4 linked regions of the Styela clava genome follow. The protein of the gene in region 1 purifies or fractionates together with the protein of each later gene. This does not show direct contact. Links are inferred from orthologs where the notes say so. Each region holds a gene or a part of one and is shown in the gene's direction. Other genes may lie near its edges. The genes, in order: prohibitin 1-like, stomatin-like protein stl-1, ER membrane protein complex subunit 2-like and calnexin-like.

Evidence for each region.
Region 2: the proteins of prohibitin 1-like (region 1) and stomatin-like protein stl-1 purify together in Homo sapiens (affinity purification with western blotting; 3 studies listed by BioGRID, with this or other methods). This does not show direct contact. The link is inferred for Styela clava from reciprocal best matches to the Homo sapiens genes PHB1 and STOML2.
Region 3: the proteins of prohibitin 1-like (region 1) and ER membrane protein complex subunit 2-like purify together in Homo sapiens (affinity purification with mass spectrometry; 3 studies listed by BioGRID and IntAct, with this or other methods). This does not show direct contact. The link is inferred for Styela clava from reciprocal best matches to the Homo sapiens genes PHB1 and EMC2.
Region 4: the proteins of prohibitin 1-like (region 1) and calnexin-like purify together in Homo sapiens (affinity purification with mass spectrometry; 3 studies listed by BioGRID and IntAct, with this or other methods). This does not show direct contact. The link is inferred for Styela clava from reciprocal best matches to the Homo sapiens genes PHB1 and CANX.

The regions. Positions count from the first base shown.
Region 1 is NC_135261.1:10,477,083-10,484,810, reverse strand, and holds the start of prohibitin 1-like, read left to right. Parts: upstream 1-4,716; 5' UTR 4,717-4,799; coding exon 4,800-4,884; intron 4,885-5,145; coding exon 5,146-5,307; intron 5,308-5,553; coding exon 5,554-5,750; intron 5,751-6,261; coding exon 6,262-6,420; intron 6,421-6,498; coding exon 6,499-6,577; intron 6,578-7,728. Other genes in the region: uncharacterized protein LOC120330096, read right to left, coding at 1-920, 1,636-1,714.
Region 2 is NC_135257.1:11,813,821-11,821,685, forward strand, and holds the start of stomatin-like protein stl-1, read left to right. Parts: upstream 1-4,848; 5' UTR 4,849-4,900; coding exon 4,901-5,143; intron 5,144-5,577; coding exon 5,578-5,677; intron 5,678-5,810; coding exon 5,811-5,942; intron 5,943-6,241; coding exon 6,242-6,372; intron 6,373-6,506; coding exon 6,507-6,687; intron 6,688-6,910; coding exon 6,911-6,990; intron 6,991-7,262; coding exon 7,263-7,391; intron 7,392-7,547; coding exon 7,548-7,676; 3' UTR 7,677-7,865. Other genes in the region: uncharacterized protein LOC144425789, read right to left, coding at 3,565-3,830, 3,910-4,006. UniProt on the Homo sapiens protein: Mitochondrial protein that probably regulates the biogenesis and the activity of mitochondria.
Region 3 is NC_135255.1:16,047,324-16,054,575, forward strand, and holds the start of ER membrane protein complex subunit 2-like, read left to right. Parts: upstream 1-4,233; 5' UTR 4,234-4,484; coding exon 4,485-4,506; intron 4,507-4,867; coding exon 4,868-5,001; intron 5,002-5,646; coding exon 5,647-5,777; intron 5,778-6,161; coding exon 6,162-6,219; intron 6,220-6,870; coding exon 6,871-6,956; intron 6,957-7,252. UniProt on the Homo sapiens protein: Part of the endoplasmic reticulum membrane protein complex (EMC) that enables the energy-independent insertion into endoplasmic reticulum membranes of newly synthesized membrane proteins.
Region 4 is NC_135250.1:5,735,853-5,743,541, forward strand, and holds the start of calnexin-like, read left to right. Parts: upstream 1-4,670; 5' UTR 4,671-4,737; coding exon 4,738-4,866; intron 4,867-5,132; coding exon 5,133-5,212; intron 5,213-5,935; coding exon 5,936-6,070; intron 6,071-6,974; coding exon 6,975-7,122; intron 7,123-7,209; coding exon 7,210-7,278; intron 7,279-7,689. Other genes in the region: peptidyl-prolyl cis-trans isomerase FKBP9-like, read left to right, coding at 750-895, 1,403-1,569, 2,030-2,227. UniProt on the Homo sapiens protein: Calcium-binding protein that interacts with newly synthesized monoglucosylated glycoproteins in the endoplasmic reticulum. It may act in assisting protein assembly and/or in the retention within the ER of unassembled protein subunits.

The DNA.
Region 1 (7,728 bases):
AAGAGATGATATACAGCAGACAACAGCAAAAATGGCAGCCATTAATACTTTCCTTACTAGTCTTATCAACCTATTATTAGGTTCGCCACCTTGTCTGGCCTTATTCCGCTTTAACATCGGATATGTTAGAAGTGCAAGCAACGTAAATTGCATGATAACTGTATTAGCAGCCAAAAGGTACCAAGGTATAGCATCAGAAGACACAGAACAACCATTTGGAGGCAGAGGTTTGTAATGTGAATCCCCTTCCACCATAAAGTAAACCAAGTTTGCAAGATAACCCAAAACCAACACTAACAGTATCCACTTGCTTAAAAAACGAGTCGCTTTGTTGCTCAAATGATTCAGCTGGGGGCTGCTGTAAAATATCCTTTGTCGCACCCAGAAACTCATATACACAGTTAAGTAAACTAAAAATCCCACAAATATCTTTGGTTTTTTCAAATGCAAACATGCCATTTCGGAGCTCCGGCCCCATATTGTGTCCAGGTTAAGCAGTACACGGACTGCCGTAATAACTGCAGATAAAATAGTTAATGTGTTCAAAGCCATGGAATATAGGGCACCACTCTTTTTTGAAAAGAAATAGGAATTCCGGGTCGCCGTACCACGCTTGCGTATATGGTAGACAATAAAACAAAACACCACGTAGCAGTTAAGAAACAGCAATGTATATGAAAAAATTTCACTCAAAACCCACTGAAGGTGTAGTTCATGAGAAAATACTGCATGCGGAGCAGATGACGTTATATTACTAACGTAGTTAATGTCATTACCAGAAGTATTTCCCATTTGTTCTCCGTAGTTCGATCCACTTTTGATATTGAATTCGCCAACATCCAAAAACCTGTTACTTGTAAATTTCGGTACATATGTTACAGCATCATGCGATGTAGTATCCTCTTCAAAATATGATGGGGCTACAGAGAAAATAGTCAATTATACATAAACCAGTATTAGCACTTCATAGGATTGGAACTATTTTGAAATATAGCCTGAATTAGTTAAATCAGTCGTAATATATCAGGAATGAAATGAACAAGTGGGCTTAAAATCGATTATTGTCTACCTGGTCCTCTCGTCCAGGCAACAGAGGTTCAAATTTTCAAGATTTGGTTGAACAAAGGTTTGTTAACTTGGCAGAGATAATCAATCAGGAGACTTAATGAATTTAAACGTCAGAAACCCTAGTCTTTTGGTAAAGTCAGTATAAAATAATGCTTTTATATTTTGGTATGGTCAATACTTCTCGAAATGAGAATCGCCCAGCCACCACATCTCCTGCATGCTAATTTTTGATGTGAACTAAGAACGAGTAAGACGCTGTTCTGAATTTACGAGGTATTTATACTACAATAGTAATTAAATAGGTCTTCAAAAAATTTTATTTTTGAATGGTTGTTTTTAAAGTGCAAAGTAGTCGTAATAATTTAACTTTTTTAAGTTCAAATTCAATTTTACAAAAGAAGTAGAGGAAGAAGCATATTGTCTTGCAATATTTTTCAGACACATTTTTTATGATACCATAAAGATACAAATCTCTAATTTTATTTATTTGAAACTGCAGTCAACAATTTATCTCTGTCACGTATTATGACGTTACATATATTAATATTGTAAAGATCATTCCCATACTTGTAGTAATGTCTGCATAGTCAAAGTCGTGTTTGTGGTCACTTCCGAACCCGTTGTAGTCATAATAGTTATTTTCCATTATCCCCTAAAAAGGAAGCATACAAATGCAATTCAATATAATTTGCACCGAACTTAACATTTCGAAATAAATATGGCCTCAAAAATCGGAATGATAAACGGAAGGGAGCAAACAGAATTTTCTTTATATTAAATAAATGCTCTAATTTAAACTTTTTTTTATATAAAACTTTGATCTAGTCCTGCGCTAAATGATGCATATATATTTAAATCAGCATCAATCCCACCCTGTGGTAGAATAAAATTATTTTCGATTATTATCATTCAAACACAATAAGCTCACCGAAGTCTATGATAATCGAATAATAATAGTCATTTGACGTCGACTTGCACAAAAACCCTAAATTCTAGAAAATTAAGCTCTGGAAATTGGAAAGTGAATTAAATAATATATCATAATACCTAGTACGTTTTTTTTTTTCAGGTACTGACTGAACCTCGTCACAATTTTTTTGAAAAGACCATATATATTTTTATGCGTGGGCTATTACGCCTAATGTCCATATTGCACATGTAAAATAGCCTACACTGTTATACTTTAAAAGCATGCTATAAACTATCCATTCACCAAAAGATTTGTATATAGTGGTTGTACATTATCGCATTAAGATATACTATCACAACCTATAAACACTTTGAGATATGCCTGACAGAATAATTTCTACTACCTCATAACCATTATTCCAGTAATTTCGTCCTGCAATCAAATCTGTCTCTAACCGCACGTTATGGATAGTGCATAACCAGCACCAGCATTTGATGCAAACTGAAAAAATTATGTCAATGAGTTTCAATATAATACTGATTCATCTGTTTATATTGAGACAATTAGATCAACAATAAGTGATGTGACAAGTGTTTCGGTTTTGCAGTTTAGTTATTTTTTATTGCATTACAAAGCCAAGCATGTATCAAATTATTAATGCCTTTATGAGTCAAAACATTTCTTGTCAATTAAATACAACATACATATACAGTATATGAATTTGAATGAAGCAGCTATTTACGAAAATTTTGAAATAAGCAATATGTAAAATTGTAATATGTAAAATTGGAAAGTACCCGAACAATGATGAATATATATAGCATAATATATAAATATGACGAAGAACCAAGCGAAACCATGTAAGGCAGCAGAGGAAATCGAACAACCATAAAAGGCGCGAATGATGCTAACACTAATTGTTAAGCATTTTTCGGCATTTCGAAAACGTCGAACGATATGAAAAAATTAATGAAAGAGTACATTATTGAGCGAGCATTTAGAGAGATTCCGAAGCGATTCGAATCAACACGAATCGAAGCAATTTCAGGGAAGACGACTTGATTCTATTAAAAAGAATATCTATCGATTCAGACAACACGAGGCGATTGCATAACGCAGCGACGTTGTCACAAGATCGATTAAAGGCGTATTTTCGTTTATTTTCCGTGTGCTGGTTACAGATCTTCCCGATTCGTAACAATCCTTGGGTTGTTATATTTGATATGGGTCTAAACTAAAGCAATAGTTTAGCCCAATTTTGTTTGACTACTTAAAATGCTATGAAATTTTACAAGTTATACAATGTGATGTGCTCTTCGTAATCATTACTCCTTTCGAAATCATGGCGCAAACGGTATCGGAACACTAGCGTTTCTTATTCAGATGATTTTTGAAGGTTAAATTTAGAAGAAAACGAACACTATACGTCCGGAATATTTTGCATACAAAAGTTTATGTAATAAAAACAAATATGTAACTAAGTATGTAACTAAGTAAGCTCTATGTAACGAAAACAAATTTTTCCAGCCCTAATATATATATTTCATTCATTCATTAAATTTTTTTCTACTAACATTATTCAATTTCTAGTTCAATAATATTATTCAAGCAGAATTAATACTGTAGCTATTCTAAATTTAAAGAGAGTTAACGGTAAACTGATGGTATATTAAATATTCGAATCGGAACATTCTGATTCGATTCGAAAATAAGATATTCGAAACTTGTATCCCCAATCGCAACCACAAAAGCTGAGGCAATATATTCATTCATTCATATTCATTGGCGTTTTCATTTTATTTTCGAAACTAGAGTCAAGTTATTCCGATCAGCATGATTGATTTACCAGGTTTCATACGCACTCTGCTGTTCATTGTAGTTCGAAAAGTTTTTTTTTCGCCAACTTGATTTTTGGACGCGAAGTGTACATATGAATCGTTTTGTTATTAATTATGTTGTTGTGGTTGCTCTTGTTGATTTCCTTGTTAGGATTTTTATTGTTATGAAAAAATCGCTTTTCTTGTTACTTACTGAACTAATTGCTTACAAATTTTCAGCACCTAAAGACTGTAGTTTGCACTAGAAGGTAATTACTTTTATTAAATTCAAAAAATTCTGTGAGCTCTATGAGATTTGTTTTTGTGTGCTATGACGTCACCACAATTAAAAATTGCGCACCTCGTAGCGCTAGTATACTGTGACAGATTGCACACCCGCACTTTGTTGTTTTAGCCTTTTTATTTCCATATATTTGAGCAACACTCTCTTGTATTTAATTGTGTCATTTTTATTTTTTTCGAGAATATACGTTATTGTTTTTGTTGTAAACGTCATCGTAAATGTAAAATACCATATTGTTTTTAAGGCACTGCTTAAACCTAGGAATGTCATATCATTATTGAGTTTAGCTAAAACACTAATAAAAGAATAACAGTTGTGCGTAGGAATAGCTGAATGACGTTGATACCCTTGAAACATTCGCCCGACGGGCGCATACAAGGAACAAATTGAATTCGTTCAAAATATTCAGGTGGCTTGAGTAGAACAACATGTAGGGCGCGTGAATTTATTAATTACTGGTGATATAATATGCCAAAAACAAATTTCTATTCAATTATTTACATAAAAAATGGCACACGGAAGAAATAAAAAAACATTGAGATAGAAACCGGATTTGAAGCTCATGTATGACTCTGCAACCACCGCAATTTTTCCGATCTGCACCAATGCGATTCACACGTGATCTGGTGCAATCGCATTGTCGAATACCTCAACTTTTTCAAGTTATTGCTGATTTCTGACTCGACTAGACATTTAGAAGATGGAGGTTTTGTTTTCAAGGCTTGCGAAATTTGGTGTTGGTCTCGCTGTAGCTGGAAGCGTTGTGAACTCGGCTCTTTATAATGGTGGGTATGTTGATTGTTACATGCAGGCCTATGACTGTATCTGTATGACAGCGTGAAAAGGTACTGGTACATTATGAAGAATTTTTGAAACGTTGATTGAAAGTTTTTATCTCACAGTTGTAAAACTGAATTAGACTTTTGAGTCATGATGAAAAAAGCTGACTAGTTAGACTACTGGAACAGGAAATTTCTCTTGTCATATCCCTGTATCCTGTTTTTTCTATAATTTAATAACATATGTGAATTCATCTATATTTTCAGTTGATGCTGGATGCAGAGCAGTTATATTTGATAGATTTTCGGGTGTGAAAGAGACTGTGACAGGAGAGGGAACACACTTTCTTATTCCAGTCATTCAAAAACCTATTATTTTTGATATAAAAGCCAGACCAAGAAATATACCGGTGGTGACAGGTTCAAAAGGTATCATATAAAATTAATTCATTTTATCTTTGACTGAGAGAAACTTGAATTTCAATCAAAAATCTTTCATTTCATAATTTGGTTAGATTACATCATCAAAATCTGGGTCTGCAAATCTTATGCATTCTACAACATGACAATTCTCATTTCCAGGTTCTTTTATATAGCATCCATGTTCTGTTCTAGATCAAATTTACCAGATAATAATTATAATCAATACTTTTATCATTTTCATTTATTTTTCAGATTTACAAAATGTCAATATCACATTGCGTATTTTATTTCGTCCAAAGCCATCAATGTTGCCGAATATATTCACAACCGTCGGTGAAGATTATGACGAAAGAATTTTACCTTCAATCACAAATGAAGTTTTAAAGGCAGTAGTTGCTAGATTTGATGCCAGCGAGCTTATTACGCAGAGAGAAATCGTTTCACGACAGGTATGGTGTATTTGATTACCATTTGCAATTTTCTATAGTCGCCTTTGAAGAGTAGGAAGTTCAGTTACCCTGGTTTGGTCTAATAATATATTTGTACTTTCAGCCATTGACTTCCAAATCGTCGTATAAATCGCCATGTTACTTTGTGATTGTTAAAATTATACCACTACACAGTCTTTTTAAATTTGGAACTGATATTTTTACATTGTAGGACTGTATATGCCTCTCATTGTTAACTTTGACTATGCAAATAATACTCTATTGAAAATGTTTATAATGAAATAGTTTGAAAAAGGAAAGTGAACTGATTCAAATACCAATGCATATGGCCTTTGTAAACGCTTTTATTAAATGATAGTTTTAAATAAGCCAAAAAATTCAATTCAAGTTACAGATATTAACAAGTAAAGTTCATCCACTTAAAAGATATTATATCCTGTAGCTTGTTTTGCGGTGGTATAGTTATGTTTGCTTCTATTATAGTAATAACTAACTACACATAAATTATCAGGTCAGTGAAGATCTCGCTGAGAGGGCTGATGCATTCGGTATGATTCTTGATGATGTATCACTGACACATTTAACCTTCGGAAGAGAATTTACACACGCTGTCGAAGCAAAACAAGTCGCCCAGCAAGAAGCAGAACGAGCTAGATTTGTTGTGGAAAAGGTTTGAATTATATTTGGTAGATTAGCGCTTTGTCTCTTTTCGGGTATTTTAGATATTTTTATGTTTTTCTGTATTTAGGCTGAGCAACAGAAAATGGCTGCTGTTACAACGGCAGAAGGAGATGCCAAAGCTGCTCAACTTATCGCCAAAGCAATTGGTATGTTCATTATTTTATTTGCACTAGCTACTTCTGTTAGTGCAAACCCGTTATATGCATTGATGATTGTCGAATCACATAGCTCGGCAGTATGAATAGCTTACATTACAATCACTTAGTGCAGAGCGGGCAGTACACAGGATCACTTCGACTGGCAGCCAATTATCTAGATTCTTTTCATTTGAGTCGGTCATCAGTAGAGCTCGACCAATATCGATATATCGGCCAACTAGCGGCCGATAATCGATATTAATATAAATCATGTTGTGACCCACAAAATGGGCTTTTATGATGTACCTCGTGAGTCTGTAGTTTATTTTAATATTTATTTATTATACGGCTGATATTTTGCATAACCATGTTTCCAGAGTTATAAAGGGAGATCCCATGGTTAGGTGAACTGGTCGAAATATAATTAGTGTTTTGAAAACTGTTGAATGCTGAGAGTTAAAAATTGCACAGACTCTCAATATCTCATTCAGTTGATTAAAATGGATTCATTTATTTTTGTATAACTCTCACTAAAATGATGGCAACCAAGAAATTCAAAATTGCATTCAGGGAGGTCACAAATTTGGAACCAGTTTGATGACATTATTATATGATAACCGTATTGTTATTGTACAACAGCCATTGAAATGCATAAGTGCAATTATTTTTCATGGTAATAGATGAATAAAACAAGTCCCATTGAAAGAAGGTATTGCTATTAAAAGGACCCCAATCAATTTAGTCTTAATTACCTGTACCATGTTTCTGTGATTACTAACTCAACATCTCCAAATCGATTCTATTTATAGAACTAGCGCTTCTTTCAATAAAAAAATTGCCTTTTTCTCTTTGTGTACTCTCTCAAAACGTGATTTTAAATGTTACTCCGGATAATAACTTTTCAATCATCATCATGCATGAAAAGGCTAATCATATGTCACTGGGTATTAGGAGAGACACCTTTTTAATACAAAATGAAAGCAGAGAAAGATTGGGAAAACAGTTAGGAAGAGGCGAGAGTCGTTGAAGCACACAGCCCGACTAATGCGGATGTATATATCGGCAGTTTACCTTTATTCTTTTGTAGCCCACTTCTGTCGCCCATCAACGGTGGTCTAGTATGACTTTATGTAATGGTTTGTCTAGTCATCAGTACGACC
Region 2 (7,865 bases), on another chromosome or scaffold:
GGGAGTAGAGCTGCAATCCTCTCTGGGATTGAAACCTGTGAAACTCCCAGGGTAATCAGAGATGCGGTGGCGAGCGTATTCCTAGATGGCGAATTCAATTGAATTCTGGTTATTTTTTGCATGACCACTGGTGTTAAACTTTAGTTATCTATTCAACCTTTCACACTTAGTAATAGATTACCTGCTAATTAGGGAAACCATACCTTATAGCAATTGATTATTAATTCCTTACTGTCTTACACAAGTCAAGTCTGCAACTGCAAGTAGGCCTACTAATAACAGTAGTTTGTCATCTGCTTTCCATTGAAATGAGGGAGCTTGTGAATATTTAAAGAAATTGATAACGGCACACTATCACCACATTATCACTCACCATCAACGAAGTGCTGTCCGCAAACAGTGAAACACATGTAAGATGGCTTCTGGACTTGACACCAAGCAGTTCTGCCAATGCAATAGATGATATCCACATTGCGCGACGCTCCGGATCTTTTGAAATCAGTGGAATATAACTGAAGATCCATTTCGTTGTCTATACTATACGTAGGGCCAACGGAACAATACGAAATAACCATTTTCAACAGCCAAACAAAACGGAAACGTATAATCCGACTTGCAACTGACAGGAGCCAAATGGACGTTTTTGTTTTATTGCCGTCCAGTAACAAAGTCACGTGACCCGTGCGAGTCCTTTATAGGAAGAATTTTTCGGAGGTCGAGGAAAGGTCCCCACCTTTTCATTCAAAATCTGTACGTTTCAAACCTTTCTTGAAATTTTGTTTTGTTTTTATCAATTACTTCATCGTCTATTATGCTGATTAGGGAGTCGAAATAAACTTATACTTATAAATAAACTCATACTTTACTATATAGATCAGTTCACATCAGATGATGCTGGCCTGCATAGAGTTTATCGTGGAAAACTGATCGAAGCTGGCGATAACATGAACAGTCAAACGTCAAATGTAACGGATATTTGATGATGGATTCTATAGAAAAGGACTACTTACACAAAGCACGTGAATTTTGATTACTGAAGTTGGAACGCCAGTGCGTGGAATGCTCTTGTCACATTTTACTCCGTTTGTTGTTGTTTTTCTTTTATGGTGCTCTTATTATTGTTGTATTTTGTCCAATAGACTATTAGTTGAGTGGTTTGTAATCAAATTAATTTTATTACATATTGCGAACCGCTTGATTGTTTGTTGTATTCTACAATTCACGTTATTATCTTGTACAAATATAGCAGAAATTACAATCCATGTTAAAACTCCACATACACACCCAAGTATTTACACGCCCGATTTATCTTTCGTGTCTCTTTTTCTTTAATTTACTTCAATGTGTTGTTTGATTGAGATGGTTGTTTGCTGTTTAGGGTAAGTGGGCACGTGCACCGGCACGTCTTAAATCTTTTTTAGATTTTGCCAACTTTCCTGATTTTCCTTACAATTGTTTGTTTTTCCATGTATTGCTTTGTTGTATTGGAAAATCGAAATAAACTTACCCTTACATAAATACTTCGCGACCCACCTCGTATAGATTCGCGCCCGACTGCTTGTGAAGCACTGCTTTAGCTCACGTATCAACATACATACATTTTCCGAGGGCCTGTAGTTAGTCAGTTTGGTACAAAATAGAATCCGGATTTAAACTTTGAACCCCATTAGGAAAGAACTGACTCTGATTACTTTATGGTCCTATCACCCCCCCCCCTCCCATGAAATCATGCATTTCGAACATTTTTTCGGTGAGAAGTACCCAGAAAATATAATACGATGGGGACAAAGTCCGTGAATTCTCAATGACAAGGAAAAACGATGATTTTGAAAACAACGAACTAGTCAGAAATTTCTTCTAATTTGAAAAATTCACCTATTTAACATGTCAATGTAAATATTCTCACGATTGTACTAATTAGGACACAACTTAAAATTTATTTCCATTCAAATACCATTTAAACTAAATTAACAGAGCCAAAACAATGCTGCACCAGTTTTGAACAACTTTACCATGGGTGGGCAAATGAAAAACATCACACGATACAAAGTCTGTCAAATTGAACTTTGCTGAAATATTATAGACCATCTTGCAAACGAATTATTTTGGGAAAGTTTCATTTACACCACAAATGTAATACCAGCCCTTCTTTTCGTTAATTTCGAAAAAGTCACTAAGAAAGACGGTCGAATTTTACAGGCTAATTTTGTTAGCATCGTCGATTGTTCTCTTCCGCGTTGCGTGATTATTTGGGAAATCAACATCGGCATTATGCAAGTTTTAAATTGATAAGAGGTTACATCCAGTGGTGGGATTCAAATTTTTTGTCAGCCGGTTTCTCCACAAAAGTCATATTTTTCAGTTACCAACCAGTAACTACTGCAAAATAAACAACATACAGCAAGGTCGCAATCAAAATTATGTAACCATGTTATTTAAAAGTAGCAATGTATCTAGGGAGGTGAAAAAAGCTGTTAATATATGCTCTGGGAGATGTCAGTTGCCACTCGCCACTTTACAAAAATCACTAATGCGCATATGCATTAACTGCTATATTATCCGTTTAACCGTCACAATAATATCCGGATATCGGACAACAAAATAACGCTCGGTTAGACGGTTACCCAGTTATCCGGATAATCCAACTCTAGTGGTAAGGTGTCCCGCGGACTGCTACGCCATCGTGACACCATCGACATCTTGCTGAATAGTTAAGTTACTATTTGATGTTACGGCGGTAAACACAGAATTGAGGAAGGGAAAACGTCAAACGACAACGATCACTTAGCGAGGCGAGAAAGATCGTAGGCACATGTTACGGTACCGTAAAACCGGCTAACTTCGGATGATTTCACTATATTTTGAACAATATCTCCGCCGCATGTTGTTCAACTGAAGCCAAATTTGGAATATAATACATTGTGGCTATTCTCGTCTTGATAAAGTCGGTTCCATATCCATCAAAGCCTTTTTTCATTGAAATTATTGTCTTTATTCGTCTATTCTAAAATTATCTAACTTCGGATGGCCACTTTTCTCTTTGCGTCAACTCGTCGTGAGAGAGAAATGTCTGCGTAAGCAATGACGCGTGACAACGTCGCTGAATAGACCTTACGCCGCCACGACCTGTCTTGCGTGTTGAATACTGACGTTTGTACGTGACGTTACTACGTGACGTTACTCTTGCCGCTTCGCGAAGCTTAACTATTTATTCTTGTGTCCATTATTATAACTCGTATATATTTCACTAACTACTCCTAATTTATTGCAAAATGCTAGTTCGTTCTTTTATGATCGTTTATTTTCAATGCAAGAAAAGGATTAACAAAAAAAAAAACGGAAGAATTGAAAGTACCTAACACTGGTGTAGGTTGAAATTGAAATGCAATATTGAACAAGTAAAGAATGAACAAAAATTAGACAATTAAAAATAAACGGATGAATCGAATGAAACACTGGCAAAAGTAAAAATTGAAATCAAAAAGCAATATGGAACAAGTAAGGTATGAACAAAAATTCGACAGTTAAAAATAAACAGATGAATTGAAGGAAACGCTGGCAAAATCAAGAATTGTAATCATTTCCACATGGGTTAGACGGGTCTTTGCAACAGTTCTTGTGGAACCAATGTGTTTCGCTGCAGCTTTCGCAACCGACCCATTCATCCTCAATTTCCGTACTTCCATTTGGATCATTCCATAATCCACAAGCAGAGAAGGTTTCGTCTTGATTATCACTTTTCATATTTTCTGATTTTCTCAGAGCTCCCCGTTGATCGGCTCGGCAGAGGTTCCTGCCCGGTGTGACTTTCGATCCTCGCTTTCGTTTCACTTAATAAAGTCAAATGACAATAAACGGATAAAAACGGCAAAATAAAACTTTGCCACTTTTTTTCATTTTGCGCCTCACCTGTATGTGGTCCAACCTCCTGCTGTGTGCATGTATGTAGAGTTCTACGCTCACCTGTTAAAGATATTATTATCATCTGCCGATCGTAAACAGACATATCTAATCATTATGATCGTATAGATACAGGTTTCAGGCCTAACGTATTACCAATTGCTACGGTATCTATCGGTGTCGGAGGAAGTATGCAAAAACAAAAATCGACAAATTTCATATGCATTAAGCGTATGCATACCCATATTTTTAAATAAACAACATATGACTGAGACGATAGTGATGTTTTTAGTGACTAGGATCATGGATAAGCATAATTTTTAAATTTCACAAAACTGGGCGCCGCGATGTCTGGCGTTCAAATGTCGCAGCGAGTAACGCACGAGCTACGCAAAGTGACGTCGGCTACGAAGAGAGAGAACGGGATTTGCGTCGTTGACGTCACGCTGTACGTAATCATCAAAACGTCGATATTTTGATGTAATTTTTAAATCAAAATAATCGATTTCACTCGAATCTCGTACGACACCTTGTGATCACTGTATTTTTTTGTATACATTGTGTACGCTCTCTAGCGCTTGGCGGTGATTTGACGAAGGTAGCGTCTGTAGAAGTCACGATTTGAGCCGCTCGAAAAAACGGTGTCATTTTTTTGGTAAAATATGATTTTTTGAATGATAAAAAATCAAATCGAGCGATTGGAGGCTACGGCAGATTCAGATATGTAAGGCCTTACTATAGAAACCGACAGAAGCGCAATACGACGAAATTTAGTTGAGATATGAATGATTGAAAATTTCATCCGAAGTTACAAGGCATCCGAAGTTAGCCGGTTTTACGGTACGTAACGGTATGTGTGTACACTGTACGATTTAGTCTTTCTGTCCTTGCTGTAAGGCTGCGGTTGGTCAGTTATGTTAGTACTAAAGTACCCCAACTTTTACCGTATTTTTAAGTAAATCATGCTCCATTTCAGCACCTAGTATTTGCATAGACTATCATGAATGTTTTATATAGAAGAGTATTAAATTCCTGTAGAAGGAGATTACTTAGTCCACCACAGGATTACTTGATTAATACTGAAAAATTCCACAAAGTCGGAAACTTAAAACTTCAACTACCTTTTTATCAACAACATGCTTGTTATTCTCGATTACCTGTCAATACAGTTTTCCTCTTTGTTCCACAACAAGAAGCTTGGATAATAGAAAGAATGGGAAAATTTCTGAAAATCTTACAGCCGGTGAGTTCCATAATGATGGCAAAGAAATTCACTACTTCACAGAATATATCCCATTTTGTATAACAGTAGACAATAAAAAGGAAGCAATCACCATTGAGTTTCTATGGTCTGATGGTAGCACTAGTATTTACCTTTTACTAGTTTATACTAAGATACATAATATTCATGAAAATTATGGATGGCTGAATCAAGCCAAATATCTGAATATTGTCTTGTCCAAAATTGTTTGAGAAGGACTAATCAATAAATATTTTGTAAGGATTCAAGACGTGGGAACTTGGCAATTATCATTATTTTATTGAAAAAACATCCATTTAGGTTATTTAAAATGTGAATTAATTGCAGTGATTATAGGAATTTTTATTTCTTAGAATATAGGGTTTTCAAATCTGAGTTGATTTTAAATGTTGCATTGAATTCATATTTTTATACAGGGTTTGAACATATTAATTCCTGTATTAGACAGAGTTAAATATGTTCAAATTTTAAAAGAACAAGCAATCAAAATTCCGGAACAAAGTGCTGTCACTAAAGGTATATAGTTTTTCATATTTCAATATATGTTTTAACTTGATTTTGTGTATATATCTTTTGGGAAGTGTTTTATAATCTGCTCTGCATCAGTTTTAATTTAAATATATTTCATCATACTTTGTTTCTATTACAGATAATGTTGGGCTGCACATTGATGGAGTGCTTTATGTGAAGGTTGTTGATCCGTATAAATCTAGCTATGGTGTGGAAGACCCAGAATATGCAGTAACACAACTTGCACAAACAACAATGCGATCAGAAATAGGTGCGATATTTTCAAAGCTTCTGGCTAAAAAAATTGAAATCGGCCCAGTGTGTGATTGTAGGTTGTCTAAATAAGTAAAATGGAGCAAAAATAAATTAATGATGTTTTAAAATGATGGTTTATAAATATTCAGATAATGGTATAGAGATTTGTGGATATTTTTGGTTAAAAGTTTTGTAACACCATATGGCCATGTTAAGAAAAAGAAAAATACTTGATATTGAAGTACTGTGAATCAGTATCACATGATAGAGATAAGGAAATCTGAGTTACTTTACTTCTTTGTTAAAATATTCCAGGTAAATTATCATTAGATGGAATATTTCGAGAAAGAGAAATATTAAATACCAATATTGTCATGGCGATTAACAATGCTTCAAAGGATGCATGGGGAATTCAATGTTTACGATATGAAATTAGAGATATACAAGTAAGTGGAGTCAATTTTCTACACTATTAATTAAAAAATGCAGAAAATGGAAGCAAATCATTTGGCATGTGTGAGATAAAGTTGCAAGTTCATCGAAAGTTTTATTTAAGTTCTACTTTCCACAACACCCACAGGTCCCAAAAAGAGTGCAGGAAGCAATGCAGACGCAGGTCGAAGCAGAAAGAAAGAAAAGAGCTGCAGTACTTGAATCTGAAGGGAAAAAAGAGGCTGATATTAATGTTGCACAGGGGAAGCGACAAGCACAAATCCTATCATCAGAAGCTTTTAAAATCGAGCAGATCAATAAAGCTGAAGGTTAAATAAGTCTATAATTGTGAATAATATGTGCACAACTTTTCTAAAACCAATTCAAATTATCTTTATTATATTGGAACTGAAATAGTAACAAATCGAAATGTGAATATATAAGCGAATGCCGAAAAAAGTTCATACTTTTTTGCAGGAAAAAAAATATTTCATAAAATGTTGAATGAATCGAATTTCCTTATCTGCTTTAATTTGCATATGTTTGTTCCAGGTGAAGCCAAAGCCATTATTGCGAAAGCTGAAGCCAGAGCTAGCTCTATTTTGATGGTTGCCGAATCTTTAGCAAATGAAGTGAGTACATTTTTTAAGAAGGCCTTTTAACCTTAATATTGCTTTTCAGGTTATAAATAGTGATTTATTGCTAGCGAGTATACTGCCCCATAAACATTAGCTCTTTTATGATTGATGACTTTTATAATATCTGGGCCATATTTGATTGATCCATATTCCTCAGAATGTCTTGAACAATACTGGAACCCATTTTACTTCCCCAGTTGATTGCTTCCCAATACTGCTACTTTATATATAAGTTCGTATAGTGAATATTTTGTGTTAATGCCTAGCATGGATCAAGTGCTGCTGGACTCACTATAGCAGAGCAATATGTAAATGCATTCGGCAACCTTGCAAAGGAAGGGAACACAATATTACTGCCATCGAATACAGGCGACGTATCAAGTATGGTCACCCAGGTAACAAAAATTCAATATTGTGTAATTAAAAAATATGGGATACTAAAAACTACTACTAAAATACCACATTTTGTCATGGTGGTAATTCAATGTTATGTGGAGTGACTGATTCAATATTGCTTCTCTTTTCGAATCTCACATTAAATATATTTGCAGGCAATGGCTATTTACAAAAATATGCAGTCTGTTCCTAATATAAAACTGAACACCAAGGGACTTCTACAAGATGGTGAAATTCATAATGATGACAAAGTAGTGCAAAATTCAACTACAGACGACAAATGATCCATTGACTTTGATTGATCAAAATTCAACGAAGTTCTGTGGAAACGATTTTGGAGGCATTGTCATTCTTCAATGGATTTAAAGAAAAGTTGCTTCTCTCTAGATACAAACGTGTTTGTATGTACATGCCCGATATGGAGAATAGTTCTCAGGGTATGAATCTGCATACTCGGTACTTGCTAGTTGTAT
Region 3 (7,252 bases), on another chromosome or scaffold:
GATGCCCAATTTATTTTTAGAAATGACATGTTGAGTACTGAGGTAGGAGCTGATGATTATGACATAGTTTTTAATGAATCTGTCAACCGACTAAGAAATTTAATTGATAAATATGCCCCCTTGAAAAAAGTTAGTAGAAAGGAACGTCGATTGAAGCAAAAACCATGGATTACACCTGGAATATTACGGTCTGCAAAAAAACGAGATAAATTACATAAAACTTTATTTTTAAATGGCACTGATATTGAAAAACGCCAATATAAGAAATATTCCAACACTCTCTCTCATATTAAAAATAGAGCAAAGGAGGAGTACTTTGCAAAATGTTTCGATAAGTATAGAAAAGATTCGAAAATGACATGGAATACCATCAACTCAATCATTAATAAAAAATTAAAAAAAAATCATCCGAACACTCTGCGTGATGAGACTCTTAATAAATCAACTGAAGATCCAGTTGACATTTGTAATGTTTTTAATAATTATTTTTCCCAGATTGGGCCGACGCTTGCCTCAGCTTTTTCAAACAGCAATTACGATTTTATGAAATATTTAAAGCAACCCATTAAATCGTCAATGTATCTAGAGCCCACCACCACCAACGAAATTGAAATGCTTATTTCCACGCTTGCGACTGGTAAAGCAGAAGGTCACGACCGCGTTCCGGTCTATTTGATTAAAATTTTAAAGACCATCATTAGTCCAACCCTGTGTAATCTTTTCAACATCTCCATGACCCTGGGTATTTTCCCCAGGCATTTGAAGGTTGCCAGAGTTGTACCGGTTTACAAATCTGGAAATAAGGAAACCGTGTCAAATTATCGCCCCATCTCGGTACTGTCTTGTCTTTCAATTCTTTATGAGAAAGTATTACTAAAGAGACTGAAATCTTTTTTGGACAAAAACTCAATTCTAAATAGGGACCAATTTGGCTTTAGGGATGGACATTGCACTTCACATGCTATATTAGATATTATCAGCCATTACTATAACGTTATAGATGAAGGCTCATTAGGTTGTAGTGTATTTCTGGATTTGAAAAAAGCATTCGATACAGTGGATCATGATATCTTAATTACAAAACTTAATTACTATGGAATTCGGGGAGTAGCCAATAAATTGTTCAAAAGTTATTTGCAAAATAGACGTCAATTTGTAAGTTTGGTTGGTTGTCAATCGATGAGTGAAAAGGTGTCGGTAGGGGTCCCCCAGGGCTCAGTTCTGGGGCCTACCCTTTTTTTAATTCATGTAAATGATATTGTCAATGCCATTAGGGCTCCAATTAAACTTTTCGCTGATGATACTAGTGCTACTTTCGCTGCAAAAAATCTGTCCGACCTAGAAAATATAGTTAATAGGGATCTCTATTGTATATCAGAATGGCTAATTAAAAACAAGCTAACTGTCAATCCTAGTAAATCCCAAGTCTTATTGATTAATTGTAGCAAAAGCCTTAAAAATTCGAACCTCACTCCAAAATTTATACTAAACGACTCATTACTTAGTATCTGTGACTCTGTCAAATATCTTGGAGTTATTCTAGACAATAAGCTAAACTGGCATAGGCATATTAATCAACTTGCAGGTAGACTGTCCAGAGCCATAGGTGCTATGTCTAAACTGAGACCGTTTGTATCTGAAAAGGTATTAAGAACCGTATATTTTGCTCTATTTTACTCACATCTTCAATATGGAATTGTGGCATGGGGTTCTGCCCCTAAGACTTATATGGATAGGATTAGAATACTTCAAAATCGTGCAGTAAGGTTAATGAGTGGTACTCGTTTTCGTGAGAGAATAAGTCCCAGTTATAAAAAGATGAATATTCTTACAGTAGCTGATGTATATAAATTCGAAATAGCGAAAATCATGTTTCAATTTAAACATGGAATTCTGCCTGAAATTTTCGATAGCTACTTCACAAATTGTAGTAATGTCCACCAATACAACACTCGTTTAGCGGGTAGAGGAGCATATTTTGTTAGTCGGACAAGTTCCAGTCTGGCCCGCGACTCCATTAAAATTACTGGTCCAAGTATTTGGAACTCTATTCCCAATGAAATCATAGATTCGTCTTATAGCTGTTTCAAATATAAGTATATGAAGTATCTCATAAATAAATATTAATATGTGTAGGGATATATTTTGTGTATTTTTTTTTTTTTTGCATCTTAATAACTATTTCACTCACGATTTGCATCTTTATCTTTGCAAATATAATCTATTAAGTCAGCTCTTTTCTATATAGAAATTTAATTTTCCTCCTGATGTGATAGCTATATATAGTACATGAGTTAGCTTGCATGTAACACCAACAGTTTTCATCATAAGCCAAACTATAAACTATTCAGCATTTGTACTTTTTGACATAATATGAGGTTATAGTAGTTACCGTAGGCGTAAACCCTTATATTGTTACCTGATAAAATTTGACTGCTTTTAGCATATGTACTTTTCATAGTTAACTTTCCCAATGATGCTCTTTATTTTCATTACTTGCAAGAATGGAATTACCAAAATGTCAATTTTCATCTCTGCATCACAATTGTTTGTCACTATAATAGTTACTATCATTGTTGTTCAATTCAAATGTTATCAGTTATGTGTGGTATCTATTATTATATTTCGAGATTTTTTGGAACAAAGTTTCCTCTAATTGCTCAATTTTCATTACGGTATATGTTGTGCAGTTGCACTTGTCATAATTGAATAATGTTAAATCTCTTAGCCAAATTGATTGTGCAATTCCAATTACTTTTACCCTGCATTTCAGTCATTCCTGACTATATTCGTATTTTTAGTTGTGTTGTGTAATGGATAAGTTCCACTCCCATAGCTCAAATCACTTGTAATATTTCTTCTCAATACACACAACTTACTGCTCTACATTGTTGCAGGTTTGTGTCAAGGTCCTTTCACCATACCAGTGTTTATTTAATTACTATCATTGCTATTGTTGATCAATGGAATGGTGCTTCTTTCATATATTTTGGTGTATATGATATTGCTATGTGTTGTTGATTAATTAATGTATGTAGTAGTATGTGTACCAGTGGGCGGGTAACTGGTTCTGTTCGCCTGCTTTACATCGGGTTATATGAGGTGACTGAGTCCTGTTTGGAAAGAAACTCATTTGCTCCCAAGCCCTTGTTGGAACTAAGATAAAGAAGGTCTGGATAGGATTTGGGTCTGGCCCAAACATGGTACACATACTGCGGGAGTTCAATTAATATTTTCATGTTTTTGTTATTTACTTTCCTAATACTGTGTATGTATCACTAAGTTGCACTAAAATATTTTCCACATTCTCGTCACATTAAAATTTTGTCCCTGATCCACTGTTTATATATATCCAATTATTTATTATTTCTATTTATTATCGTCTCAAGCCCAATTGAATTTATGAATTTAGTAATTTAGTTTTCAGCTAAATATTAAATTTCCATAGCATTATTCTGGTCGCTTTAGATTAACATAGGACACCCCCCTTCCTTTTTTGTTTTCTTCTATTTTCTTTCTTTTAAAAATACTCATAACAATGCATTTACCCACGAGTCTCCTAATTTTATTCAGAATTTTATTGTAAAAATATTAATGTAATAGTTTAAGTAGTTTTGTCACTGGTCATCTTTCAGTGTTATCTTAATAAAATCAGCATATATGGTGGGAGCTGACTTCGATGACCGTATGGTCGTATCGCTTCCTCCTGTCCATACCAAAAAAAAATTTTTTTTTGCTAGTGCTATTTTACTGATGACTATTTTTTACGTTTTTTGGTTGACGAAATAATAAAATCTCTCTCTCTCTCTCTCTCTCTCTCAACGGGCATACTAATTTGCGTTCGATTTCGGCAAGGCCGACTTTTAAAAAATTCGAGTCTTGCAAACGAAGTCCATTTTACGCAAACGGTAAACGCCAAAAATCTTAAAAAATCATATAGAATCAAATTTTCTACAAAAATTTTTGCGTGATAACCCACCTCTCTCAGAAATCCTATCCTTTCCTAACCCGCTATCCTTGTCTTTGTTCACCGCAAGGATCTATGACAGCGGGTTCGGGTACAGAAACAATGGCGTTACCGATTCTTGCGCAATAAATTGAACATGATAACAATAGAAAAGCTTACTTGATAGAAAATAAATGTGAACAAAGTTAATTTAAACGAGCAGATTTCTCAATTGAGATTCCTTTTTTTGAATAGGAGTTCAGCGAGCCTGATGATTAGTCTCTGCGGGCCGGATTTGTCCGGATACTAATAAGCAAGCCAGTGGCATATGCTGAATCACCGTCGCGGCTCGTCACCAGCCTGGTTTTCTTGCTAAGTTTTGGTTCTCTGCGCGATTGTTTAGCTGGATAATAACTGAATACGGTGTATTGCCTCCTTTTGCTTGGAGTTTGTAACTTTACAATAGTTCTTAGAACAGTAGAATATTCCAGATAATTCATCTTGTCTAGCTAGTGAAATACGATCATAATATCACAATATGGAGGATTTCAATCCTGAAGGTGAGCATCAGGGGATACTGTTACCGGTATATGGAATTTCTAAACTACCAGACTACCGGTACCGGTACCATATTATACTCAAAACCGATTACTGTAGTAACAGCCTCTTACGGTATCTCATTCAGTGTTTTTTCACTTTTATTTTATGTCATGCAGCCATGAGTGGCTTAGGTCTGTACCGGTAGGTTTGTATTTTTATATGAAACAACATTTCGAGTTTTGGAAACTTTCATGAATAGGCTATATCTTTGTGCCATGGAAGAGTTTGGAATAAGTTTTATTTTCTAATGTATTTCTGAATGCTGATTGGTTTTCATCTCTCCTCCAATCATCTTTTCTCAACTTTTTTTTTAAACAACAGCTGCTTGTAAAAGACTTCGTGAAATGAGAGATGAACATGTAAGAGATAGCATAACTATTGTTGAGATTGGCGAAAGATTAATCCGAAAATATTCTCATAGATTCGGAGATGAAATGTGGTTGATTTGTGAACAGGTAATACTGTAATAAATTGTTTTTTTATTAACTTTATAATCTTTTAGGGGTCTCGTGTAGTTTCATACCTCAAGTACTTCTAGTGGACGTAGGTAGCATAACGATTTTTACACATGTAAATCCTATCCCCCCCACCTGAATACATCATCCAAAAATACGATGTCATAAACACGTCATAGCGCTTGCCAAAGTATACCTACGATCGCCCGAAATGGCATCTGCATCGACGATAAAGAACTCACTAACGACAACGATCTCTCTTGTATCGGGATTGTTGCAACGAGAAAACGGAGAGAAATAGCTCGATTTCGGGTGATCGTCTGCGCGTCTTGGATGACACTTCGCATAGTTTGAAGGGCCCTCTTACGTCACTGTGAATTGATGTAATTTTTGGATGACGCACTCAGGGGGGGGTTAGAATTGACATATGCAAAAATATGCTACGCCCACCAGGAGTACTTTAAGAGGTACAAAACTACACCACACCCTTTTTTTGTTAGTTCGTATTTAGTACCAACATTTTTTTTATTTGTTTTAAAGGTATCGGCGTAGCCAAGTTGCAACCAATCAAAAAAGCTTATGATAAACTGCTAGAAGATTGGGTCGTTTATTCCTTAGTGCAAGTAACCTTTTTCTATATTCTAGGTCTTCATAGCAGCATTAGACACATGTCGATACGATTTATCAGATATCTGTCTTAAAAAATTAGAAACGAGATTTCCAGATAGTGACAGAGTAAAAAAATTACTTGGAATACAATTTGAAGCTTATGGAGAGTAAGTTTTTCTTGTTTACTTTTGTAATTAGGGTTCAATATCTGGTGCTGATTTATGTGGTCAATTTGATTCAAATGAAATTTTGGAATATATTTATTTCAAAGCACTGTTTTCATTTTGAGAAACCATCAGTGAACTGTGTTTGGCATCGCGTGACGTATGATGTCCCGGACTCTGGTAAAATCATCAAAGGCTGAGGCCGAATCCAAGTATCAAAATACAAGAGATTGGGCCACAAATCCAGGCACGAGTCTGAATCTTGTCGCATTCCTAATAGCCCATACATCACTGCTTATAGGAATGACTAGTTCATTTGAAAAATGTGATGTTTTTAAGTAATGTCGATCCCAATATAAAATCTACACATGAAATATATTTCTACAGTTATGAAGAAGCATTAACTATATATGAAGAAATAGAAAAAAATGATCCAACAAACGCTGTAAGTTTGAGCTTATTCAATATTTGCTATTGATTTTTTTTTTAGATTGAAATAAGTCCTGAGAAATCACATCATCTCATCGCTTGGTACACATTAATTCATGTAGTCACTTTACTGCGATAACGATTAAAATTTTTACTATCTGTATTAGTCGACAGCAGTGGTTTTCAATCGATGCTATATGGCGTCCTGGAATTCTAATAATATCGTCCAGGTGTTCCATAAGTTTTCATTCATATCCCAGAGTTAATATTTATATATGTATATTGTTCAAATATGTTCTAATACACAGGTATAATTGCACAGGATTTTCTCAACCCTCTATAATGTTTGAGTTCTGGTTCCATCAGAATGGTTGAAAACCATTGTTTAACAGGCTCGACTTATTTAAAATATAAAACCTTTTTTATCAAAGTTGTCAATGACTTCAATTCCTGATGTGGATTTGTTGTTAGCAACTGAAATAAGTTTTATGAATATATTATCATGTTTCCTGGTAAATTTCCAGTTAGTATACATTACAATAATTCCCATTTCAACTTTGTGTATATGCTTTAGATTGGCCAGGCCATCTACAGATTTAAATTAGGAAGATAATGTGGCATGTTATTATATTCCTTGTCAATTATTTTTATTTTCAAACCTCTATAGGCCATCAGGAAACGGAGAACCGCAATATTGAAAGCGCAAGGTAAAACATCAGATGCAATAAAGAGTTTAACGGAATACCTCAAAACGTAAGATTCTTTCATGAGCTTATGTTGTAACTTTGTTTTGAATTTCTTTCACTGAATGTGGAAAAGGTATCCAATAATACACGGAGTGCATTGCTCATGCATTCTCAGTGTTTTTTCGCTAGAACAGATTAGTTCCATGTTAAGTTATTTTATTTATCACTTGAGCAATCAAAAAAGTTCCAACATCTTGGGTAATATGGAAATGACAGGAGTTGTGAAGAACGAATTGCTCCGTCATTGTGTCTACATCACCTTTAGATAAAAATTAATAAAGAAACAAATAAATGTATGAGCAG
Region 4 (7,689 bases), on another chromosome or scaffold:
CTGCCACACTCACTCTTTCTTAACCTGGGTTTGATCGAACCCCTCATTGAAGCTGTTTCTGGGGTTCGACGAAGGTCCCCTGAAACAGTTGTACAGTATACAATCTTTCATGTACCCAGCTGACTAATTTGCGAAAATAACTATATAGTCCATCACAGATACCCAAACTTCTACGTTTAAACAACTCATAAAATAGTTTATCTATGTGTGACTTCACGCAGACATATGTTTCAATGGGCCTGTCAATGACTGCTACACCACAGATTCCAGTACATTTCATCAAAAATCCATATCGTCACAGATGTAGCAGGCAGGCTTAAGTGACTTTTATATGATAGCGCTTTCTGCTTATGGTCATCAAATATCTTAGATTGTTATGTCAAACCTTGGCATTTAAAACTGAATATTCATGTCAATTCATACTTTACTAATAAAGGAACTCAGTTTTACGGACAAGTCGACAATAGGAAATTCGTATACCTAAAAGAATATAAAATCAAGGCGTGTTTGATATCGCTAAGTGATTCTTTTGTGGCAAAGAATATTTCATTACTGAGCTTCGCTTAAAACTTTCATTATATGTTCTGGACAATCTCAACATAGCACTGGTATCTTTTATGCTATTTCTATGTCTATAAAACAATGGACAAACGCTCTTATCCGCATTGGAAAAAGTTGGAAGTTTGGGATTGGCCTGTTGGGTCATTTGTCATGTTAGGTAATTATCTAATATAGTTTCTTATTTACAGTAAGAACAGAGAAGGGACTTGGGCAACGTACAACGGAAGAGGTCGAGTCATACTTGGTCTTCAAAATATGCTAACAGGAATGTGTGTAGGGGAGATCAGAAAAGGAGTTGTACCACCTCATCTCGGTTTTGGAGAACCTGGTGCAGGTAGAGTTATACAGCGGAGGTTTTGATTTCAAACATAAATCTCCCTGTTTTAAGTTTGTGAATATTGGATATAGGGTACTCCCGTAGTTTGTTAGGGTAGGCCATAATTTTATTCCGATTTTTCTTATTTTAGTTCTATTACGAGTTCGGGGAATATCTGTGTTAGCCAAATGAAAATACCCCCTGCCCATAGGCTTTCACATCTTTACACAGCGTGATGTAAAGTATGCGAACAAAATTAGTAACACAAACTTTTGGAGCGTCGAATAAAGACCCCTGCACATTGAGTCGAGGGTAATCTGAATCTCAAGTCGAGTCCAAATTTGAGTCAATTCCTCTGTTGTGTCTCACTGGTGGTTATTCGATATTGATTCCAAGTCATTCCATTGAGTGTTCAATAAATTGTGACTCTGGTCCTACTCAAGTCGAACTCGAGTCCCCCCAAATCTGTTTTTATTCATTAAATAATTTTGTTTTTCAATCTTTTATCAAATTTGTTTCATTCAGATGGTATACCTGGTAGTGCTGTTCTGGTATATACTGTGGAACTGCATAAAATTGAAGACTCTCTACCTAACGGAATGTTATTCATGTGGAAGGAAGGCAAATCTGAACCTGAGAATCTTTTCTCGTTGATTGATGATGATGCCAATGGAAAAGTTTCTATTGATGAGGTACACAATGAAAACATTTTATGTAACAATAAATATCATTTTTGATTTTTGAAGTTCAGTACTTACGTAATCTAGACACAATGCAATAGACTTAACTATGCTGACATCGCAGGTTTGAAATCTTGGGTTGAAATGCCATGCCCACCATCTCACCTGGGGGTGTAATAAGCCTGGTAATGCCGAACTGGAAAAATGTTCGTTTCACCAAAAACAGTAAATTTTACATATTAGTGGATGCTTGACATATTTGGGAGTGATGAAATGAAAATGTATTAAAAATCTTGGTTTACCAAAAAAGCATACAATACTCGCCGACAATTGTTGGGTAACTAAAATTCCCAATCTTTTTCGATTAGATATTGGATTTCGAACTCTGGGTATCAGTGCGCCATAGCCAGTTTTGGTTCTACACAACTTCCCTTTCTCCAGTAAAACTTATCTTTCGATATACTTCCTGCAGTTGATGTCATACATTGTTAAAGAAGTTGACGCTGGTAACGGCAAACTTCTTCCTGGTGCTGAGAAGGAAAAAACGATTGAAAATCTATTCAAGGTGATGGATAAAGATGAAGATGGTTTTCTACAAGAAAAAGAGCTGGAATTTCCGACTCCACAGTTTGAAGGCATCATAGGAGAGAAAGTTGATGATGAACTGTGACTTCTCAATATTTCTTCAATAGGAAATTTTTTATTTTTTTGAAGATAAAAATTCCACTGCCAACTATCAATCAAAACTATGAAATTTAATACATTTTCTGTAAAGGTGCTAGTGGGTATTACTATATAATCAAATACACAATTATAACAAGTGTAGGCATTTTTTAAATGATCAGTGTTGTTTAGTCGTAATTGGAATTTAGAGTTAAATTTCGTTGATGTCACTGCAAAAATCATTGAAAGTTGAAGTTATTCTTAAGTTGAAACTTTTTTAAAATTTTTTGGGGTTTGGTATAACACTATCTGTTAGTTTATTGTTGCCATATACTGATTTCACCTTAATCACTGCTCTGTTTATATTGTTTCAATATCAGCATATTGCCTATTAGGATCCATTCCAAATATTCTTTATCATGTTATAATTGTAGAACAAGTATGAAATTTTCATTTACGTATTGCAGTTTGCACAACTGAAGTCTTATTTGTAAGCAGTATTAACTTTTTTACTTTCGAATGTGCCAATAAATTCATCAATTTTGCAAACTTTTGATATTAATTTTGAGCTATCTTTGGGGTTATGAAGACCGATTACAGATTGCGATAGACGGTCCCTATCCATCATCCCCAACAGGTAAAAATAGAAATCTTATTCTATGAATTATCATATTTATAATGGGAAAACAAGTTCTCGACGTCTGATTTTTACATACATTTGTGTAATACGATGTTAACACTACTATTCATGTAGAAAAGTATGGTTTGTACCCAGAAATCTCAGTAAAATAGGGCGCTTTGCACGAGAGTTATATTTTCTGTAGCTTTTGTTCCAAATGACCGGAGTTCTGTTGTATCAAAATCAGGTTAGGCATTATCGCATTGAGTTTCATAATTTATATTCTACGTCACAGGGTGAGATTGCACATACCATTATTCTCACCTGATTCGAAATCATGGCGAATTTCCGCCGTATGTGATTGTTGCATTGTAAGTATTACCGTATTTTGTGCCACGGCTGAGTTAAATCCCTATCTATCGTAAACTTGTCGCCAGACACCGTACGCTCTGTTTCGCGTAGTTTTATTTAGTAATTCTTATCTGCGTGGAAGGGATTTAACAGCAGGTAGTCGTCAATGTGATTTATGTCAACATTTTAATGTCTTGAGCTAACAAATGGCGCAAGAATTACGCATACTATCCATGTCACGCCGTGTAAATTTAAATCGGACATCGACCACTCACAGATCACCACGCATCGAGGAATAAATTAAACAAACACTATCACGTGCTTGGTCTCGCATGAATAGTGAGGAAGCGTGTTTCGCGTGATAGGGATTTTCAATTCATATTGCCAGATATTACTGTATTACATAAGTATAAAATGATAGAATATACATTTTATTAGTTATTCACGACCATGTCATGAGCAGTAAACAAGTTTTAGGCCTGTATTTTATTTAACGTAATAGCTGGTCCCTGGTGAAATCATGGAATAAGTTGGAGAAACCCAACGACCAACAGCTAAATTCTACTACCGGTACTGCACTACTGAAATAAGAAAACTTTCGATTTTTGTTGAGCTACTGCTTTGGAATGAATTCACGGTTTAGGCTATGTACAACGCGATGGCATTATTTGGCCCATTTCTGTTAATCGATATTAGGGTAGATACTGAGATAGAGGTTCTAAAGAAGAGATGTTGGGATGTAAATTTTAAGTTCATTAATTTTGAATTTACCGTTTTGAATTACAGAATTAGATTACGGTAGTTGATCAATCGGTTGACAGGTTTAGGATAGGATTTAACTATTTATCCCGGGGATAGGAAAGCCGATAAGAAGGCTGGCGAACTCTTGTCCGGTTACCATTCCGGCATTCCACGTTGGGTATGCAGGTATGGGATTAGTTAGTTATTTGTTTTCGGAAGCATGGACTTGGAGCAATGGCATCTAGAACTTTAGAAGCAAGTGGAAACCCTGGCCTGCTAGCTGATTACCAAATTCTTTTCATTCCAGTAATAGAGTCTGAGAGCGTTGGTATGCATAGTCGTTTGATATCATTACATGAGCAGATGAAAGTGGGTACCACAGTGTTCATTTCAGCATTTATGCACCGTACTGGTAGGGGTATGATTTCTCAATTTTGCACTGGATCTGCCAATTAGAATTGATATTTATTTCCAAATCTCGCTCTTTTCTGCTTGGCTATTGTAATTCTGTAGTATAAGCAGAATTTGCTGCTCTGAAATGTACAAGAAATGATATATATAATTCTGTAATTCGCGATTTGAGAGTTTTTTAAATATTGAAATCATTCGGATAATTTTGTTAACCCCAATTCCCGAATTCAAAATTAAAACTGTAATTCTGTAATTGAATTATGTGAGCTATAGTAAAACTTTAGGGCTTCAACTATCAGATATTATTAATTTATTTACTGATTTTCTTTTTTATTTTGAAGTAATATTTAATAATATTTAGTAATTCCACATGAGTCAATAACCCAGGATTAAAAATGGTTGTCATTAAATTTGGATTAGTATTTCTTTTAATTTTGTTCTCTGGATTCGGCTTGAACATGGCCGAGGATGATGATGAGGCAGAAGTAGTTGTTGAAGAAGCAGTTGAAGAACCAGAATCCACAGTAAGATTCTTCATATTGTAGAATTTTAAGGGGTATTTCCTCAACCTTTGACCTCCAGAAATTCTTCCTATAGTAACTAGACTGCAATTTGCCCTTTTTATTGTTTTATTGTAATCCAAATTGTTATTTTTTATAATCTATAAATGCTTTGAATCTATGGACTGATGGATAATAATCGTAACAGCATTTTACAGCACCATCATATTAAAAGAATTCTTTATTTTGTTCTGTATATTATTCGTTAATACGAACTATTTTTGTTCCAGATAACAAAATATGAGAAACCGGTTCCCAAAGGCCACGTCAACTTTGCAGAACCTTTCGATAAAGCAGATTCTATTAATGGGTATGATAAATGCAGTAATTTCAATTTGAATATTTATTGAATGGTTGTTAATTAATTTTTATCTTGATTTTCATCCGTACTTAGCATAAGAAACATCGTAATTGTAATGCTAAATTAATTGCAATGGGTTGTGGAGGTCCCATCTTACTGTTATATAATCACAGTCTGGTTACAACTTCACTCTTATATGAGCCGAGTGCAAAGAACGCCTTGTTGTTGCTGCTGACTACGAAGCAGGGGTTGGCAATTACCAGTAGTGGAAGTTTGAATTAGGGCATATAAAATTGGTAACATAATATTCAACTCATGAAATACTTCTGTACTTATTGGCCATGCATGTATCATTGCGAATTCACGACACTGAACGTCATTTGGCAAAGGGAAGCAAGGGACATACAATACTGGAATTCAATGAATGGTGTTCTGCCATTAACAACCTTCGTATAGTTGTGTATTGAACCTTTGACCCGATGTTCAACTGTTACCAAGGGATTCCCACACCTAGACTTGTAACCAGATGAGAGGCACCTTTTCTTGCCTCCAGTTTTAGTATAAAAAATCTTATTCTAAATACTGGTTATTTATTGCCATTATGATATAACAAATAATTACTTTTAGTTTGTTTTTATGGCTTTTCATTTTCGTGCTTTGCTTGAGCTTCCAACAAAATTTGAATTTTTTTGTAATGCATATAATATTATTTTAATTTTTATTGTGTTTTAGTTGGAAAATTTCTGAAGCAAAAAAAGATGGTGTTGATGAAGAAATATCAAAATATAATGGTCGTTGGGAAGTTGTTCAACCCATTACACCACTGTTAGATGGCGATTTGGGATTAGTTTTGAAAGATAAAGCGAGGTTAGTATTTTGGTACTCTTGTAATAAGTGTACCAGGTTCGGGGACTGTTTGTGTTATCCAATTGAATATACCCCCTGCCCGTAGGCTTCCGTCCCTTTACATAACTTGATGTAAAGTAGGCGAACATAACTAGTTACTTCTATATTGGTAAGCATACTTCTGGAGCGCCATTATTTTTAGTGGCATTTCATTTGCAATGTCATTTTTGCATTCCTGTATATTTTTAAATTTTGAAGAGGAGTTACTGTTCCTGTCTCAATTCAATTTGAAACCCATCCGTTTTTAAACAGTTCGCAGTTGACATCTGACTTATGATATGGTTATTCTAATGCAATATCCTGAAATGACTCATTTGTCAGTCTATCTGTAACCGGTTTGGATCTAAACTGTATACATCAGCATTGTTTGTATATACGTTTGTGTTTGCTGTAATTACTGTTGGAATGCATCATTGTTCAGTATTGTATACAACACTTATTCGGGCTTTTCCCTCTGTACAAGGCCATGTAGGCATCCACTGATATTCAATGACATTTTTTTGAAAGTCTGAGATCTTTCTTGTTCCTTATTGTTTACTCAATTTATTATGCTGTTGTATAAAACAATAAAATATATATTAATAGGTGCTCCAAAAGTATATAAACCAATATGGAAGTAACTACTACTGATGTAAGTAACCTACTTTACATCAAGTTGTGTAAAGGGACTGAAACCTATGGGCTGGGGTTATATTCACTCGACTAACACAGACAGTCCCCGACTCGTAATAGAACTAAAATAGGAAAAATCAGTATCAAATTATGGCCTATCCCTAACTTGGTACACATACTACGTGAGTACCTTTTAATTTTTGTGATGCAACAGATCTTTATAAATTATAAATATAATATGTCTTTATTTTAGACATCATGCAATTTCTGTCGACCTGTCAAAGCCATATGAATTTGATGGAGAACCATTTGTCATGCAGTATGAAGTCAATTTCCAAAATGGAATCGAATGTGGTGGTGGCTATGTAAAACTCCTTTCAAAAACTGAAGATGTTACCTTAGTAAGTTTTTATCAATAAAACGTCAATTCTCTTTTCTATCAATATCGTAAAAGCATTTTCAACAAACCAACTATTTTACATTTTCAGAAAACTTTCAACGATAAAACACCGTACACAATTATGTTTGGGCCAGACAAATGCGGGGAAGATTATAAGGTAAATTTTCTTGTTGACGTAGTTCTGTTTTAAATTGAATATGGATTTGAATTCTAGATGTCTGTACAGAGAAATCGAACATTTTGGCAAAATGTGGAGTCGTGTAAAAATCACACTTTATTCCAAGCCATTCAACAATGGCATAGATTTTAGAGTTGGACTCTAGTCTTGAACTCCAAGAAAAGCAAATTTGTTTGAATAGAACTCTTAGTCAAATTGATGGTTTCAAAATCACAGGAGTCATAATTTTTGATTCTTTAGAATAGTGATGTGGAATTTCAGGTGTTGATAATTTAAGGAAAAATGTGCATACACAAAAGATTTTGGTAGCAAAATGAATATTTTCGAATTTCTGTCCATCCCATCCAAATGTCTGTATCTTAATGTCTGTCTAAGTCAAATTTTGTAGCC